Linked DNA regions of Drosophila melanogaster. The protein of the gene in region 2 interacts with the protein of the main gene of each other region in a pairwise test. Each region holds a gene or a part of one and is shown on either strand. Other genes may lie near its edges.

The links. The genes of interacting proteins can lie anywhere in the genome.
Region 1: the proteins of EndoA (region 2) and Hdc interact in a two-hybrid assay, tested with the Drosophila melanogaster proteins (one large-scale study listed by BioGRID).

The regions. Positions count from the first base shown.
Region 1 is NT_033778.4:10,234,858-10,242,738, forward strand, and holds the start of Hdc (histidine decarboxylase), read left to right. Parts: upstream 1-3,130; 5' UTR 3,131-3,618; intron 3,619-4,974; exon of another isoform or gene 4,975-5,029; intron 5,030-6,011; exon of another isoform or gene 6,012-6,036; 5' UTR 6,037-6,239; coding exon 6,240-6,267; intron 6,268-6,813; coding exon 6,814-7,392; intron 7,393-7,613; coding exon 7,614-7,723; intron 7,724-7,881. UniProt on the Drosophila melanogaster protein: Required in photoreceptor transmitter synthesis. Catlayzes the conversion of L-histidine to histamine.
Region 2 is NT_033777.3:18,903,392-18,913,151, forward strand, and holds EndoA (endophilin A), read left to right. Parts: upstream 1-3,217; 5' UTR 3,218-3,629; exon of another isoform or gene 3,630-3,808; 5' UTR 3,809-3,875; coding exon 3,876-4,985; 3' UTR 4,986-5,059; exon of another isoform or gene 5,060-5,114; 3' UTR 5,115-7,364; downstream 7,365-9,760. Other genes in the region: CG14292 (uncharacterized protein), read right to left, coding at 1,634-2,086, 2,162-2,215; Sgsh (N-sulfoglucosamine sulfohydrolase), read right to left, coding at 7,869-9,443. UniProt on the Drosophila melanogaster protein: Required presynaptically at the neuromuscular junction. Implicated in synaptic vesicle endocytosis.

The sequences.
Region 1 (7,881 bases), on a different chromosome or scaffold from region 2:
AGCTTTTCCACCCCTAAAACTCTCAGTGGGGGCGGGGGCGGGCTAAGGGCCAGGAAAATTCCCGTCGTGGTGATAAAGCGTCATGGGAAATTTCTGCACGCTCGAGGTGGAAATTCCAAGGGCGGAAAATTTTGAATGAGTCTTCTGGGCTTGACTTTCGACATTTACTCAACTAACAACTGAAACTGCCATTTATAATATTTGTAAAAATTCATAAAATTAGTTAATAAAAAATCAACTATGATATATATTTTTATATATACATGTTTAAAAAGAAACATATTTGGTAAACAAATATTTTCTTTTGTTATGCATTTAAATAGTGCATAAGATATGTAATTCATGGTTAACCCCTCGTTTATAAACCAAATTTGTAGAACACGGATAAACTATAGATGCAGTAGTAAGTCATTATATATACGAAGTCTTGTCTACTACAAGCTGTGTAAAGATAATATACATGTATTTATAATTATATAGTATGTATATAAAAAGCTTTAAAGTGTCATAAATAGTATGAACATTGGCACATATATATTTTTAAATGAGTCATAAAATGCGCATTTTTAGTGCTCTCAAAACTACAAGAATGCACTAAAATGTTAAGCTCGCTAATTAAAGCTGCCAATGCCAATTTGGGCAAAAACCAATCAAAGAACAGCTATGACCACAATGACCCTCGAGTCAAGAATGCCCAAAAAAAGGGGCGAACCGAGAACATCTCGGCCATTGGCCAACAGACGGGGCAAATTTGAACTAATCGCCCAACTGGGCCCCAGCCCAACCGATCGGATCGAGCCATCATTAGGGCGGGGAGGGGAGTGGGGGAATTGGGTGGCATAGGGCCAAACTTCTTATAGAGGAGGGTCGATGATGGCGAACGGAGCGACCACCGTTAGGACGGATTCGGATTCTGATTCGGAGCCAAGACTCAAGCATCGGCATTAATATTTCATGTTTTTCCGTTGCTTAAATCATGTTAGATTTATTCTGCGCCGCATTCAGCTGCCGCTTGCGCAACAACAATCAAGAGCTAACTGGTAACTGGTAACTGGTTGGTGGTTCTGCCAACCAGCTTACTAGCAGCTTGCAGCTAAACTTGGCTAAAACACCGTTGGTTCTAACGTGAACGCGAAATGTGTGCCTCACCGTTGTAAACTTCTTGCGGCGGCTGTTGCCTCATCATCTATTGCAAGTCTGTGCCGATTCTAACCTGTTTTCTCTGCAGAAACTCTCCGAAAAAGTCCCGTAAGAAAGTCCCAGTTATTCAAGAGGAAAAACCTGTTACACGCAACTGGCTCAGAGAGCTGATTGCCAAGAAAATGGAGACGGAGAAAAGCAAAGAACAGAACAGAATCAAAAAGAAGCCAGCGTATAGCCACAATAGCAGCAGAAACAGCAAACACGTTAGTACCGTTGCCTCGGATTCTTTGTTGCGCAACTGTGTTGCAAGATTAGCTGCGACTTCCAACTGGTTTATTGCAGCCCCACTGTCGATGAGGCAACAGTTGGCCGGGCCATTACTGTTGTTCTGCCTTGAAGATGTGGTAAAATCTTTTGGCTAGAATCGGAAATCCAACGGCGAGACTGGCGGAGGTGCTGCATTGCATGTCTTGCAGCTTGACTGCATATCCCATCCATTTGTTTGCGGCTATTGAAAGCCGTTGCCTTTTATAATCAATTAGGTTTTTTTTTTTAACTTTTCGCCAGCCTAATGATTCCAATAGTCGCCTATAGCCAGGCAAGGCTGATTTTTGAGGCGAAATATCACCAACCAACTATTTTGATTACCAGAGAAACTCTGTTTCAAAACTAGCAAACTCATAAGACCTTTAGCAAATCTATTACAATGCTTGAAAACAATTTATGGAATTATTTGTCATCGTGTTTGGTTCTAAAGAGAATTAAGACCCTATTCAAGTTATATTCTATATAAAATTATTTTTTTAATTCCCTCTTTGTTAAAATTTGATCCTTTTCAAAAGTATTATGTATTCCATTCCTTAATTATAAAATCATCTAGACATAAATCGATTTATTGTAAGAACTTAAATATATCCAATAGTTAATAAAGCTTAATATTTTAGGAATATCATAGCTACTCGTGGTCTTATGTTTAGTACTCCCCATTCTCACTAACCTCTGATGGTGCTGGGCATGTTATCCGGGTTAAGCAATCTCATCAATGGACATGGACTTTCGTTCAGACACCCAAATCGGATCAGATCAGTGTCAAGGCCTTGAACTCATCTCCCGGCCATGAGATCATAATAGCGATCGTAAAATCGGCGAATTAGTTCGAGTCCCAGTATTGTTCTCGGATCAAATAGTTTTCAAACGGCGAAGTTAGCCGGCGAAGGCGATGATGAAGCCGGCGGAGTGGAACGGATCAGAAAGGAGAGCAAGCGTAATCGGGACTGGTAGCGATCCGATGAGAGAGCCCGGAATCCGAGTGGACTGGACTGGACGTGGGGACAAACGATTGCACACTAAATGGCCAGAGACCGAGTCAAAGACCCGTTGCATCCGATGATCATGATCGCGCTCATCATCGTGGTCATCATCCTCTGCATCGGCGGTGGAATCATCATCCTCTGGCGGGAACCTGTGTGCGGAGGCGAGTGGGAAACCAAGCAAGCTCCAAAAAGAAACAGAAACAGAAGCTCAGCCGAGAAAGGAGAAAGGAGCTGCAAGATGTTCCCACCTCACACACGCACGCGCTCACCAACACACCTGCAGAAGGGGCGCTCACCACAATTCCTGCTAATTAAATGCGTGATCACTGCCCAAAAATAATCGCGCAGCAACCGAAAAGCTACAGTCCCGCCTTCCTACAAAGGATTTTATAGAAGTCATTCAATAAAAAGTACACCAAAGCAAAAAAAGATTTCTGACATTTAATCATTTTTAAAATTCGTCAAAATAATGATATATTTGCATGTGAAGTTTAAATAGGCTTATAGAAAAACCGATTAGCTTTTCTTTGAATAAAATTTTCCATGGTATCTTTTAAAAATAACAAAGTTTTAAAACCCCTACAGCATGAGAAGAGAAGATATAAAATACTATACTAAAATATCGATTTATGGAAGTTGGCCTGTATGGGCTGGTAACAAATACACATGCCAGCGGAGTCAAGCGTGCATTTCATCAGAGATGGGATGTCCGAAAGTCCGAGAGTCTGACTGTTATTCCCAATGATACACGTAGTGCTCGGTACGAAGAGTTGGGGACCGAAGCCCGTGACGTTGCTCGGCAAGTATCTGTGTATCTTTGGGGCCCGTCATCGGATCGCAGCGCGCTCAGTTGCACCTTTAATCGCTGAGCAAACAGGAAGACTTCTACGGCAAACACACACACATGCCCACTCGCACACACACTCGCGCTGTGGGATGAAAAGGGGAAAGGCGTAAGAGGGGAAAAACAGGTTGAGAAGTACCGCTAAGCAGAGGCCCCAACTTTCCGAGGTCAACGAACGTTCTTAGCGCTCAAGAATGAAGGAATCAAAACACACCAAAAAATACAGAGCGAAGAAAAGAGAGCGAGAGAGGTGCTGAGAGAGAGTAAAGAAAGCACAAAGAGAGAGAAAGCCAAGCGATCGACTTAAGAGCGCGACAGGTAAGCGCTGCAACCAAAACCAAGAGAGCCAATCCGAATACGAAGAGAAAGAAGACAGTATCTTTTATTGTGTTTTTGTATGCACATGCACTTTTGAAACGAATTTATCTGTTGCCCACAGCTAAATGAAAAAGCTCACAAATTGTGTATTTTTAGCCGCAGATTTAAAAGAACAAAAAGGGAGAGAGCGGAACAAAAGCCGCATTGTAACTGTCTGTCTCATGACCAAAAGAAACCGAAATTCTTATTCTTATTGCTCAATATTTGGTAATACACACTCATGGATACAGATATAGATACAACTACAGATACATGTGCATTCGACGTGCAAAAGCCATTCAATGTAGCGGTATTTTGTCGAAATTTCCTGAGTCTCGAGACGAGTACAAAGCTCATTGACCTCATGCTCTCCCTCTTTCTTTCTTCTCTCTTGTGCCTTCTGCCCCATTCCCTTGTAACAAGTGTGTAATGAGCGGGGAGGGGGGACTGATTTGCTGTTTCTGATATTTTTTGGCGTTTTAAGACGGGCTTCCAGCCAACATAAGATTCGAACATTTTCGGCTTTTATGCCTTCCTGTGCGACTCTTCATATTCTTCGTTTTCCCTGGGGAATTTCGTTTAAATCTGGCCAGATGGGGTATTTATCAGTAAGCCCACACAACTTAGAAAATGAGGGACGTATTTAGCTGGCAGCCTGTTGATGCCATTTGCGTCTACTGCAATCCGATTGGTCAGTGGATTTGTTTCCCTACCGAAGGACACCTCTTTCCATTGGCTGTTGCTTCCCCCTCTCTCTCTCCCACTCTCTTTCATCCTGCGTCGTGCTCAATGTCCTTTTGTATTTAAACCGCCTGTTGCCGATTTATATGCTCTTTCTCTTTGAAAGGAAGTATTCGTAACCAAAAAGATAACACATTCATAAAAATGTTGATAACTACACGTAATACTTTTAAGCTCTTGACGTTTTGTGACTCATTGCCTCTATATTTCATAATGAATAAGAAAAATTACATTAAATTATCAATTTATTTTTAAAAGTTATTCATTTTAAGAAGCCCGAATTTTAAATAAATATATACTTATATAATAATATATATATTAGAAATAATAAAACTTATAAAATAATAAATATATAATCATTACAGTAAAGACTTTTAGGAAGACATCCTAGAAGAGTATTCAAAGTTGTGCACCAATGCAAACGCTTTGCTCTAAGCTTATTGTTGTCATCACCCATTTTAGGAAAATAGCCATCCTGCTGTTTAATAGCAATTTCATTTGGATAGTCCTTCGTTTTTGCATCGGAGAACAAACAGTATCCGGGTATAAATAGGTCCTGTTTGAGTCCGATTCCATTCAGTTGGACTTTGATTCGAGTCCTGTGCGTGTCAAATTGAAATCTATTGTAATTGTGCGTATATAACTTGGTAGTAAAATATTCCCGAAATATATAAAAAATTTTGAAATACTATAATTATTGTCCAGAAGATTTTTAAATAAGTGTTTGAAGAAAGTGTTTAGCTTAATCTCAATATATTTATTATAATAAAATTATTTTAAGTATATAAATAAAAACTAATATCTGCTGTAAATGATTAATAGCCATATAAAATGTAACCAGATTATCTTGTAGTTGTTTGAATTTTCTGTGATAATTTCTAATGAATGCTAACATATTTTTTAAATTCCCTCGTTATTTACAAATGCTTAAAAAGCCACAATGTTGCTGTTCTATGACTATCAACATTATTTGTGAAACGGCAAATATTTAATTCGATTTCGATCGATGAATTTCAGTTCATGTTTCCATCGTTCTAAATGCATGACAAAATGCAGTTGGAGTATGGGTGCACACACTGCAGATCGTTACAGATATAGTTAATTTGCGGTATTTAAAATATAATCAAGCAATGCAAGTCAGCAAGCATAAACAATTAGAGGGTGCTTTCCAATTTAAACGGAATTTTGTTGGAAATCAGCTGGCAATCCGAGCGCATCCCCCTTGGTTACACCCCTAATGTCGTGCTGCCTATGGGATGGCCAATTAGGGAGCTCCGTGTGTTCCAACAACTTGCCAACACATCCCACAGCCAGATCGGATTTGTAGTGCAGCCAACAAGCTAATTGGTTCCGGCCAGGTCTATAAAAGCCCGGCGCTATCCCAAAAGCCCTAGTTATAGGATAAATATTATCACGGCCGCAATTAGGTAACCATCCATCGGATTCGAACCCTTCCAGTGCCCGAGGTGCACCAACTAGGTGTTTTCACAGCTGTTAGCGTTTTCATAGCTTTTCCAAGCGCTTTTCTTGTCATTTCCATTTCCAGCGAACGCCAGAAGCCCCACAACATCGGAAGTGCACAAGTTTCTATTCCATTATATTGTTCTCCGTTGTTTTTTTTTTACTATTTCCCACCAGCGGTCAGACGGTTGACGTTCCCAATTCGGCATTTCAATTTGGCATACGTCCCCGAAAAATGGAGCTAGCCTAGCCAGAGTCCAACAGGATTAGGCCAAACTCATTGCGAAACGAAACGCCTGAAGATACATCTACAAGCCGTGATTGCGTGCGACAATTGCACAGTATTTACGTCAGCATCGGTTAAGTGAGGCGATTGCACCATGGACTTCAAGGAATACCGCCAAAGGGGTGAGTACTGTCCAAATCTGGGCCATAAAATGCACAGCGGCAGACGCGTGTAAGTAAATACCGGATGGAAATCCCATCCAAAGGTCACCACCATATACAATATATTTGATTGGCCCAAGGCGGATTTGTCCCGGCCGTTTGTCTTCGTTCCATGGCCTGTAATTGAAATCCCACACACGGAGAAAATCCCAGCAATGCAGTATCATATTTTCAAATCAATTTTCATTGACATTTTCGAGCTTACATGGCTGCTTTTGTTTAAAGCGTGTGGCAATTATTTATTAGATACTTTAGCTGAACAACTAAATAATTGCAATTGTAAGTTAATTACACACACGTGGTTAACATAATCTACGAATTGTTAGTATATTACATCTATATCCCTTTTGGTTTTATTAACACTTTAACACCTTTCCTAGTCATTAATAATTGTGTACTTTTATTCTAATTAAAATAATTAAATATTTTAAAAAATATTCTATATTAATTAGGGACAAAGACTAAGCAAAATCGCTTGAACTGTATTAAAGTACATTTTATTTACAGGCAAGGAGATGGTCGACTATATTGCAGACTATTTGGAGAACATCCGGGAACGCCGAGTTTTTCCGGATGTCAGTCCGGGCTATATGCGCCAGTTACTGCCGGAGTCCGCTCCGATCGAAGGTGAACCGTGGCCGAAAATATTCTCGGATGTGGAGCGAATCGTGATGCCGGGCATAACCCACTGGCAATCGCCCCACATGCACGCCTACTTTCCGGCCCTCAACTCCATGCCTTCCCTACTGGGCGACATGCTGGCGGATGCGATTAACTGCCTGGGATTCACCTGGGCGAGCTCGCCGGCCTGCACCGAGCTGGAGATCATAGTGATGAACTGGCTGGGCAAGATGATCGGTCTGCCGGATGCCTTTCTCCACCTGAGCTCCCAAAGTCAGGGCGGTGGAGTGCTGCAGACCACTGCCAGTGAAGCTACTCTAGTTTGTCTGCTGGCGGGACGGACTCGGGCTATTCAGCGATTCCATGAGCGACATCCTGGCTATCAGGATGCGGAGATCAACGCCCGGCTGGTGGCCTACTGCTCCGATCAGGCGCACTCCAGTGTGGAGAAGGCGGCGCTCATTGGTGGGTTTAATCTAACTAACTTTATAGTTATTGATTGTTAGGTGATCCTTTAGTTTGATTACATTCCCTTATAGAGAAAACCATTTACACTAATACACCGAAATACGTATGATCCACATTTGCAACTATTCTATCTCTTGGTCGGCACGCTCGACCATAGCCAACTTCATTGTTTAAGCCGCTTACAGTTTAAGCCACACTCCCACTCTTTTGCTCCGCAGGACTCGTGAGGATGCGTTACATCGAGGCGGATGATGACCTGGCGATGCGCGGCAAACTGTTGCGCGAGGCCATCGAGGATGACATTAAGCAGGGCCTGGTCCCCTTCTGGGTGAGTGGCAGTCTGTCAAAATTAATTGGCTCGCCTTCCGCAGCCAGCTGATTCCCCATTCTTGATTCCTAACTCCCAACTGGAAACGCCAGATTCACGACTCCCACTGGAGCCAATTAATACATGTCAGCATTTAAGTGTCCTGCGGTGGTTTATTT
Region 2 (9,760 bases):
AAACAAATTTCCATACATGCACTTTCCGTAGAATCCCTTCGTATGTGTCGCATTTTGCTTTTATTTCTTTTTTTTTTGTTTTTTAATTTTTTCCTCTAACCAATTTCGGATTTATATATACTCTTAGTTGGGCAGTTGCGGCTGGATTTCATTCTGTGCTCGAAATTACCATTTTTTGTTTTGCTGCTGCTGCCTGAATTTCAAATGCCGCAACTTTTGCATTACCAAAACAGAGCTTAAGGCGGTTCATTCGGTTGAGGTTTAGTTACGGAGGGTTGGTCGATCAGTTCGCGGCTAACACTACACCAAAGTTGGCCAAGTTTGGCCCGCATTGTTGTAATGACGACGAACAAACTCGAATTTCAATACCGAAATACTTTTATTAATTGGCCCAAAACTTTTGCACTCCCCATCTTGTGAAGCGGCGGATGTTGTGTATGTTGGAAATTTACATTTAATTAAATATTTCAATCTGAATTCAAACTCGCCCCCATTTAGGCATTGTTCGTGGCTTATCCAACATCCAATGGCCCCTTCGTCATTTGGTCATTTGGTCATTTGTGGCCGGTCCTTGGCTCGTTAAGCCAAGCCATTTAATAACCACAGGTCCTAAGCCCGGAATTCGAATTGAAATGCAAATCCAAAAGCCATATCAAATCGAATCGATTCGATTCACATCGAATCGAAGGGCAGGATGGCCGGCAATTTGAGTGAGGACATTGGATAATTGGAGCTGCACTGGCACATAAATCAACATTGCCGCCGCAACTGGACGCAACTCAAGCGAGCTGACTCCCGACCCTCAACTCAAAGGGCTCCAATTGAGAAGCAAATCATGCACTGGAAACAATTGATGGCGCCAATGGAAAAGTGCATAAAAGGGCTGTCATAACCCCGCAAAATGAGCTGGGCCAGGGAGGTCAGGGAAACAAAGCAGAGGAACTCAGTACAAATATTTGACCAAAATGCGTCAAGTTCCATGCGATGGCCAAAACGATTCAAGTGTGCGTCGAAGTGATGACGACTTGGCCATTATATATTTCACTGAAAATTAAGTCACTTCAGTTGCATATATTTTTTAATGAAATATTACGATTTAGCTTAATTTTGGTATTATTGGATTAAGCTACTTAAAGCTAAGCTATAGTAACTTTTTTAATCCTGCAAGTTAGCATATTAAAACTATTAATTTATAAAAATTATTTGCTTAGAACTTAAGTTAGCATATTTCCCCCATAATGACAACACTAACTTTCCAAAGCATAAGCATCCTTTTAGTCGAGGTCGAACCAGGATTTTCGTGACGGTGACGTGAGCAGCCAAGTATTTGCGCCCCGAAAAGCGTCAAGAAGGCAAACGCCAAAATTTGTAATTCCCGATGGGAAATTTAATAAAGCAGCGGAATGCAAAGCTCGGCCGGCCACATCAAAGCATGTCCTAGGTCAGGAGTCCTTTGGCCTCCCCCCCCCTCCCCCCCTTACCACACACACACACACACACACCTTTGCACCCCTTAAACCAGCATAGGAAATTCCGGCATTAGGCTTATTTAAATTTTATTGCATCTATGTTGGTCGATTGCTAAGCTAGGAAGTATTGGACACTAAGGCAGCCGGAGGACAGGACTAGAATCCTAGGCAGCAGCTGCTCCTGTGGGACTGGCGGTGGCGGCCAAACGGGCCTGCCACTCGTCATCGATGGCCTTCAGCTGGTTCTTGGCCGTGGTCAGCAGAGGCTTGACACAGCGTATCTGCAGCCAGGGCAAAGTGGCGTTGTTGCAGCCACTGATCGACTCCTCCGAGGTGGCCACCACATCCAGGACGCGCTCCGCCAGGTCGGCGGGAAAGTCAGGCTGGGAGAGCAGACGCTCGGCTTCGCGTTGCAGGACTATCGACTGGAAGAATGAGGAAATCGAGGCGCCTCCAAAGGGAGCAGACGGTGCCACGGGAGCGGCTACACCGGCGGCAGCTCCTGTGCCAGCACCTCCGAAAATTCCATTTAGGAAGGGATTAAAGGCAGCCGCATACGGATTGGCGGCGGCAAAGGGATTTCCGGCAAGGGGATTTCCAACAGTAGCTCCAGGGCCCTTACGAGTAAATTATGATAATTCGGTTACATAATAATCCACTTAATGGGGGGGCCCATATCCACAACTCCTCACCTGTGCACTGATGCAGGCAATGCTGGCCGCCAGTAGAACAATTGCGAATTTCATTTCTTTTAATTTATCTGAGTTCACTTGGTTCTCAGTCGTTGGGTTTCGTCTAGACTAATTGCCAAAAGCACAACGGCTTGCGGCTTTTATACGCCATTAAAAACACGGCAGGGAGATCTTATCTCTGATATCTCAACTATTACTACTGCGATTGAACTGATTTACATGTTCATTGTTTGTTCGGTGGTGCTAAGTACCTCTCGGGGGTTATCTGTTCAGATAGAGCCAGAATATATAAAAAAAAAAAAGGTGGTAAAATTGCTACTTCATGCTGTGAACGTCACTGGTTTTTACGATGCAAATGGGGTTTAATTTTTGCCTGGGATATATTTGCCACCTTCTAGAAAGATAAAATTGACTGCTGTGCTACTGGTTATTTTGCGCACAGTTATTTTGGTAAACAGGATAAACATGATATTTTCTTATCCATTCTGAGTCATTCCATTTTTATCTTAGCGTAACATTCATCAGCAGTTATACAGCTTTATTTTTGCTGAGTACGTTTTCTATCAATATAATATATTTATGTATTGTAATGTTAGAATTTTACGCGCCAAACTGTTATTCTAATCTAACAGCTATTCGATTAACAGCATGTACAAGGACAGAGCAAATACAGAGACCGACAGTGGGACCGACCATATTTATTCTAGTCTAATAATTCTGCCAATCAACATAGATTTCAAATTCAAATTTATAATGCATTAACATTATAAGTATTAGATATTAAATGTAAGATATTATGTTAACTGTTTATGTGCTTCTGGCTTCTTAATATAAAATATATATATTACTTTAATTTTTAATATTGTTTTGATATATATATATAACTATCTAATACCCCCCTGCAAAGAAATTAAATGAAAATGTTAAGTTGTACCTCACATCTTTAACATATGCCTAGAGATGAGCGTATCCCGTGTATGTCCGTTGTTGTATGCGAATGATTTTGGTATTTTACGAACCACCGGTCACACTGAATGTTTTTTAACAGAATTATCGATAGTCCCGCAGCTCCAGTGGCTTAGTGCCGTTGAAAATTGTTGTACACAGTCAAGATATTGATTTTTGCGAGCCGAGAGGAAAACGCGACCCCACAGCCCCCGCCCCCTGTGCGCGACCAGTAGTAGTAGTAACGACTCACGGTCCTTCAAACATTACGCAGCCCAAGGTTCTGGAAAAAATCGAAGATTACGAGCAGAGCAACAAAAAAAAAAACGGGGCAGAACGTGCAGAGCAAGCGAAGCGAGTGAAAGTGCCCGCAGTAGTGGTCAGCAAAAGTAGAACTCGAACTCGGGCTACAGTTCACCAAGCCAATTCGAGTTTCCCGACTCGCAGCCTCCACTGAGCGAGCAGAAGAGCCCCGGAAAGTAGCACCCCCAGCGGAGAAGGAACGGAGAAAAGTGCAGTACGCGTAAGTCTTCCAAACGTAAACGTTTTAAAAATAGACACACTCAGCCAGCCAGCCAGCCAGCCAGGCAGTCGGGCAGTCAGTGAGGCAGCCATCCAGTCCATTGATGAAATTGTTGACTTGATGATATTGACATTGAATTTGAAATCGAGTCTCGACTAACCCAACCAACCCGTTCACAGCAACTGCGTCGAGCGCCCCAAGACCAATTTAATCAGAGGAAGAAAACCAGAAGAGACAGCAGCAGCCATGGCTTTCGCCGGACTCAAAAAGCAGATCAACAAGGCCAACCAGTATATGACGGAGAAGATGGGCGGTGCCGAGGGCACCAAACTGGACATGGACTTCATGGAGATGGAACGCAAGACGGACGTCACCGTGGAGCTAGTGGAGGAGCTGCAGCTAAAGACGAAGGAGTTCCTGCAGCCGAATCCAACGGCACGGGCCAAAATGGCAGCGGTCAAGGGCATCTCGAAGCTGTCCGGACAGGCCAAGTCCAATACGTATCCGCAACCGGAGGGCCTGCTCGCGGAATGCATGCTGACTTATGGGAAGAAGCTCGGCGAGGACAACAGCGTGTTCGCGCAGGCGCTCGTCGAATTCGGCGAAGCGCTGAAACAGATGGCCGACGTCAAGTATTCGCTGGACGACAACATCAAGCAGAACTTTTTGGAGCCACTGCATCATATGCAGACCAAAGACCTCAAGGAGGTAATGCATCATCGCAAGAAGCTGCAGGGCCGGCGGCTAGACTTTGACTGCAAGCGTCGCCGACAGGCCAAGGACGATGAGATTCGTGGTGCCGAGGACAAGTTCGGTGAATCGCTCCAGCTGGCCCAGGTGGGCATGTTCAATTTGCTCGAGAACGATACGGAGCATGTCTCCCAGCTGGTCACCTTTGCCGAGGCACTATACGATTTTCATTCGCAATGCGCGGATGTCCTTCGAGGCCTGCAGGAGACACTGCAGGAGAAGCGCTCCGAGGCGGAGAGCCGGCCACGCAACGAGTTCGTGCCCAAGACGCTGCTCGATCTGAACTTGGACGGCGGTGGCGGCGGCCTCAACGAAGATGGCACGCCGTCTCACATTAGTTCGAGCGCCTCGCCGTTGCCCTCGCCGATGCGTTCGCCCGCCAAGTCGATGGCCGTAACGCCGCAGCGCCAGCAGCAGCCCTGCTGCCAGGCCCTCTACGACTTCGAGCCGGAGAATCCCGGCGAACTGGCCTTCAAGGAGAACGACATTATCACCCTGTTGAATCGCGTCGACGACAATTGGTTCGAGGGCGCGGTGAATGGCCGCACCGGTTACTTCCCGCAGTCGTATGTTCAGGTGCAGGTGCCCCTGCCCAATGGCAACTAGGCTATTCCTCATCCTGTTCCTCGTATTAATCCCGATCCCTAAACCAATCCCATCCTATCAAACTGGCTGAAGACGTACGTAGATCGCTGATTGGAGAACAATAACCTTAATTGTTGGTTTCGCCACCAGAGGCGCGAAATTGGGCAGCCCAAGCCGATGCAGAAGCAGGAGCAGCAGAAGCAGCAGCAGCAGCACATAAATGCAAATATATATATATAGTTGAATTAGATGAGCGGGTTACTACGATTACGGATATTACGATACGGCTTAGCTAGCAGCACACAGCAGGCTAAATTCATGGTGGCCATAGAGCAAGCTAACTAAATTTTATGTGCAAAATTATACCAGTTGGCAACACAATAATTAACAAATTAACTACGAGTTAAATTAATGTACGTATTAACTAACTAAATTTACAAGACGTTACGCGCGCAATGCCACTTCCTTGCGTTTTTACCTTTGATTCTCAAACGTCAGCTTTGTTGTTCGTTGCAAGTTGCGAACATTTAGTACTACTTCACACAATAGATCGATCACGTATTAGAACAGTTGGTCCGGCGGCAGAAGCAAACAGAAAAACACTCTAGCTAATTAACTAAATTACCCGTGTAATCTTAATCACGCCCATGGAGGCGCGTCTCTTTTGTCTTTCCACCTGAGTTCTTCTAGCCTCCAGTTTTCGGAGGTCTTTTTATCCGGTCTCATCGTTGTAATTTAAACCAACCTACGCCAATGCGCTCTCTATGCAAATGTCCCTTTATAGGCTAAAGCTACGTATCCACACCATACGCCCGCCCACATGCATATACATATTTATTATATACCCGAAAATACCTACATATACCTACTCTACCTACGTATATTTGTGCAAAAACAATACTCCCCACACTCTATTCTAAAAGGCATACGGAATACCGTTCTTGATGTTCGTTGTTCAATGTAAAGAATAATTCAATTCAATTTTTCGAGGATGAAACAAGCGAAATTTGTATCCTACTTTTTGCTCCTTTTTATGTGTGTTGTTTTTTTTGTTTGTTAATTATATACATAACAACTATATATATATATATTAAATGAAATCAAATATATGTATAAATATATTTATTAAGCGTATTATCTACATGTATATTTATTATTATGTATTTATTATAAATTATACTGAGCAGCAACGTAAACAATATAATGAATATTTAAACGATGATAACAGATAAAAAGTACTAGCGGCAAGTAAATGTAACAGAATCCTCCTAAACAATACCAACCAACAAGCATAATACTAGTTAAACGATTTCCACAAAAATGTTGATAATAATAACTTTAAACGTAAGCAAAATCCAGTCAAGTCAATCGAAGCATAGCAACACTTACGAACCTACTAACGCGTTTACCAACCGCAACTCTAGATCAAATATTTATATATTTAACGAGATAATAATAAACATTCGACGGCAAACCGATAAAATGATTCAAAATAGTCTCATGTTGGCATACAGCTATGCACGATATACATACGAATGTATATACATATATATACTCGTACGTTTAGGAATGATATACACAAGATACATATATATTTACGTATGAAGAAAACCATTGAATTGAAAGCCATGCAACTTGTGTTGATAATAAATTTGTTAAATGCCAAGAAAACATTTAACAGAATTATATATTCGAGTGCGAAGATGAAACATTTGCCTCGTGGACGGACAGACTGCCAGTGCGAACATTTCCAGAGGATACCCCATCTGGGGAGGATCCACCCATCGCCTGGAGACTATCTTTCCACGCGATACACACTTGCCCCACGTGCAGCGGGGCCCGAACTTCAAACAATAATTATTGTAATTTTGCATTTTTGTGTGGGCGGTAACTTGAATAATATATATTACAAGGCATATACATAATAATAATAACTATGCTAAAACTGAAGACCCTAATTTATGCAAACCAAAATTAATAAAATTTAATTTTTAATGTGTCTTTCGTTCAAAGTCATAACTGAGAAACAACAAAAAAAAAAACAAGCAAACGTCGTTTACTCTTTGATATTTCCCATCTGACCTTAAAACCATAAAACGTGCTGCCTGTTGTGTAACACAGAGACTCGAATGCTGCTGGGAATGGGTGGTGGTGGGCGATGTGGGAATCCGGAGGCGCCACCAATAAACTACAACAGAAGCATTGAAATTTTCGATTTTCCACACACAGACACAGGCAGCCGCCAGCACACCCTCCCCTCCCCTATCCCACTGACCCAGTGGGCATGACATTGAAACGTGACGCAGCATCCAACCCCTGATGCCCACGCCTCCAGTCCAAAAAGTGGGTGAGGTCATGCTGCCAGGACACGAGTGTTTGCCAGTCTGGGCTGATGCAACCAATTCAGTCAGTGGGGGAATCTTCAGTCTTCTTTCTTTGCCAATTCTGTTGGCTATTTTTTTGGCATTGCGCAGGTGAAAATCAAGGCAATATATTTTTATCTGTTTGTTTGTAAAAAGCAATTAAAGTTTTCCCTTAATGTAAACTTGGAAATTTGTTCAAAGAACATACATATGTACATACTCTAAACAAATGCTTAATTCTTATGATTACCATTGCTTTTGAAAACATTGATCTTTTTATTAGCCATGCTTAAAGATTAGCAGCTCGCTTCAAAGTTAAACAAAGTTTATTATTGAAAGTATTGTATGTTACTTTTTTTTTATTATTTTAATAAGAATATACATTAATATAATATTATCATTTCTACCTTTTGCAATTCCTATTTGTATGACCGCAACTGTAACGGCATGTGAAGTGAAAAACATTGGCATGGTTGAGTTATCAACCATTGGACATGCGATAAGACAACACACCCAATCTATTGAATACTCTTAGTCAGACCTACGAGAAGACCACATACTCCTCATACTGACCGAGAATCCTGCGCTTGGGCCGCTGCAACGCCTCGTGGCCCAAGGTCAGACAGACGGGCTGATCCTTGTAGACGCCCTGCTCCTGGAGCACAGCGTGCGGAGCACATCGCCAGGGATCCTTGGTGGCTACCTGCCAGTCGAACAGTTGCTCGCGTAACTGCTTCAGGGTGCCATTGTACTTGGCCTTATCGGCCAGATTGAAACGCTCCAAGGGATCCGTCTTAATGTCGTACAGCTCCCATTCGGGTCGCTGGTAGTACTGCAACAAGGAACGATACCATGGCAGAGTTTGCTTCCTGAGAGTGGCATTCAATATCTGCTGGAATGTGGGTGAAGTGTAAAAGTCCTGGTCGATGGGGAAGTCTGCCCAGTAGTTGATATTATGGATAAGCTTGTAGCGCCTATTGCGCACCATTCTCATGGGATAGGCCATGGTCACCTCGTGGTAACTGTGACTACCGAACACCGAATCGCTCTCCTTGATCGGAGGTTCCTCCCGCAGTACTGGGAGTATCGATCTGCCAACGATTTTGGTGTCATTCGGTCGGGGAATCTGAAGAGCATCCATTACACTGGGGTATATATCCAAAAGACTGACCATGGCAGCAGTGGCTTCATGATGACGATCCTCCTTATTGGGAGAGCTAATGATCAGGGGCGATCGTATGCCGTGCTCGTAGAGATTGGTTCTGCCTCCGGGAAACGGTGGTCCATTGTCGGAGGTGTAGATCACGAGTGTCTGATCTGCCACGCCGGCTGCTTCTAGCTCCTTCAGCATTAGACCAACTCCCTGATCCAACCTCGAGATGGTCATGTACTGAGCAGCCAGCTCCTGACGCACTACATCCGTGTCGGGCAGCCAGGCGGGCACGTCCAGGTTACGCCAATCGTAGTAGATGGGCTTCCAGTCGGGTATGCTGCCCATTCCCTCCTCTCCGCTGCCCCAACGCTCACAGAATTCTCCAAACTGCGGGGTGATGTGGCCACAACGATGGGGATCATGGAAGCCGACCATCAGGAAGAAGGGTTTCTTTTCGTCCTTGGCCTGCTTGAGAAACTGCCTGGCATACTCCTTCATCCGGGTGATGTTTCTGCCAATCTGGTTGATGGAATGCTGCTCCTCTGTTTGCTCGAAATCGAAACGGAAATTGTTGGCGGCCCCAACATGTTTCTTGCCAATGATGCCGCTCAAGATCCGTCCGCCACTTTGATCACGGATTAAATTGGGCAGCGATCCGGTATCCGGAAGAACATTGAAGTTGTGCACGCCCTGATGGAGTCCATACATTCCGCTGGAGTGACCAGCCTGGCCGGTGAGCAACTGCGAGCGACTGGGACTGCAACTGCTTACCGAGGTGAAGGCGTTGTTGAAAAGCAATCCGCGTTTTGCCAGTGCGTCCAGATTGGGAGTTTGGCAGAATTTGTTCAGATAGGCGCCCGATTCGAAGCCGGCATCGTCAGCCAGAAGCAGCAGGACATTCTGCGGGCCAGCGGAGCAACCAGCAATTAGCCATAGTGTAAAAATCCACTGCAGAAATTGCATGTTGACATAAATCCAGTTCCAAATCCAAATTAAATATATTTGAGAGCGCAGAACAAAGCGATTCTTCAGTCGACGTCAGCGTACTGAAGTACGGCTCAAGAGAGCCGCATACTTTTAAGTGTCCACAAAGCCTCTCATTTCTCCGTTCTCCGTTTAAGACGCATTCAATTCCATTCCCAGTTCCAGTTTTAATCTCATCAACACAACAAATGCTCAGCGGGAGCGCGCCTAGGTACATTCACTTTGCCCGACTTTCTTTGGGAGCGGTTTGACTACAGTCAACACACCATACAGAGAACTAAAGTGTGAGGGTACTG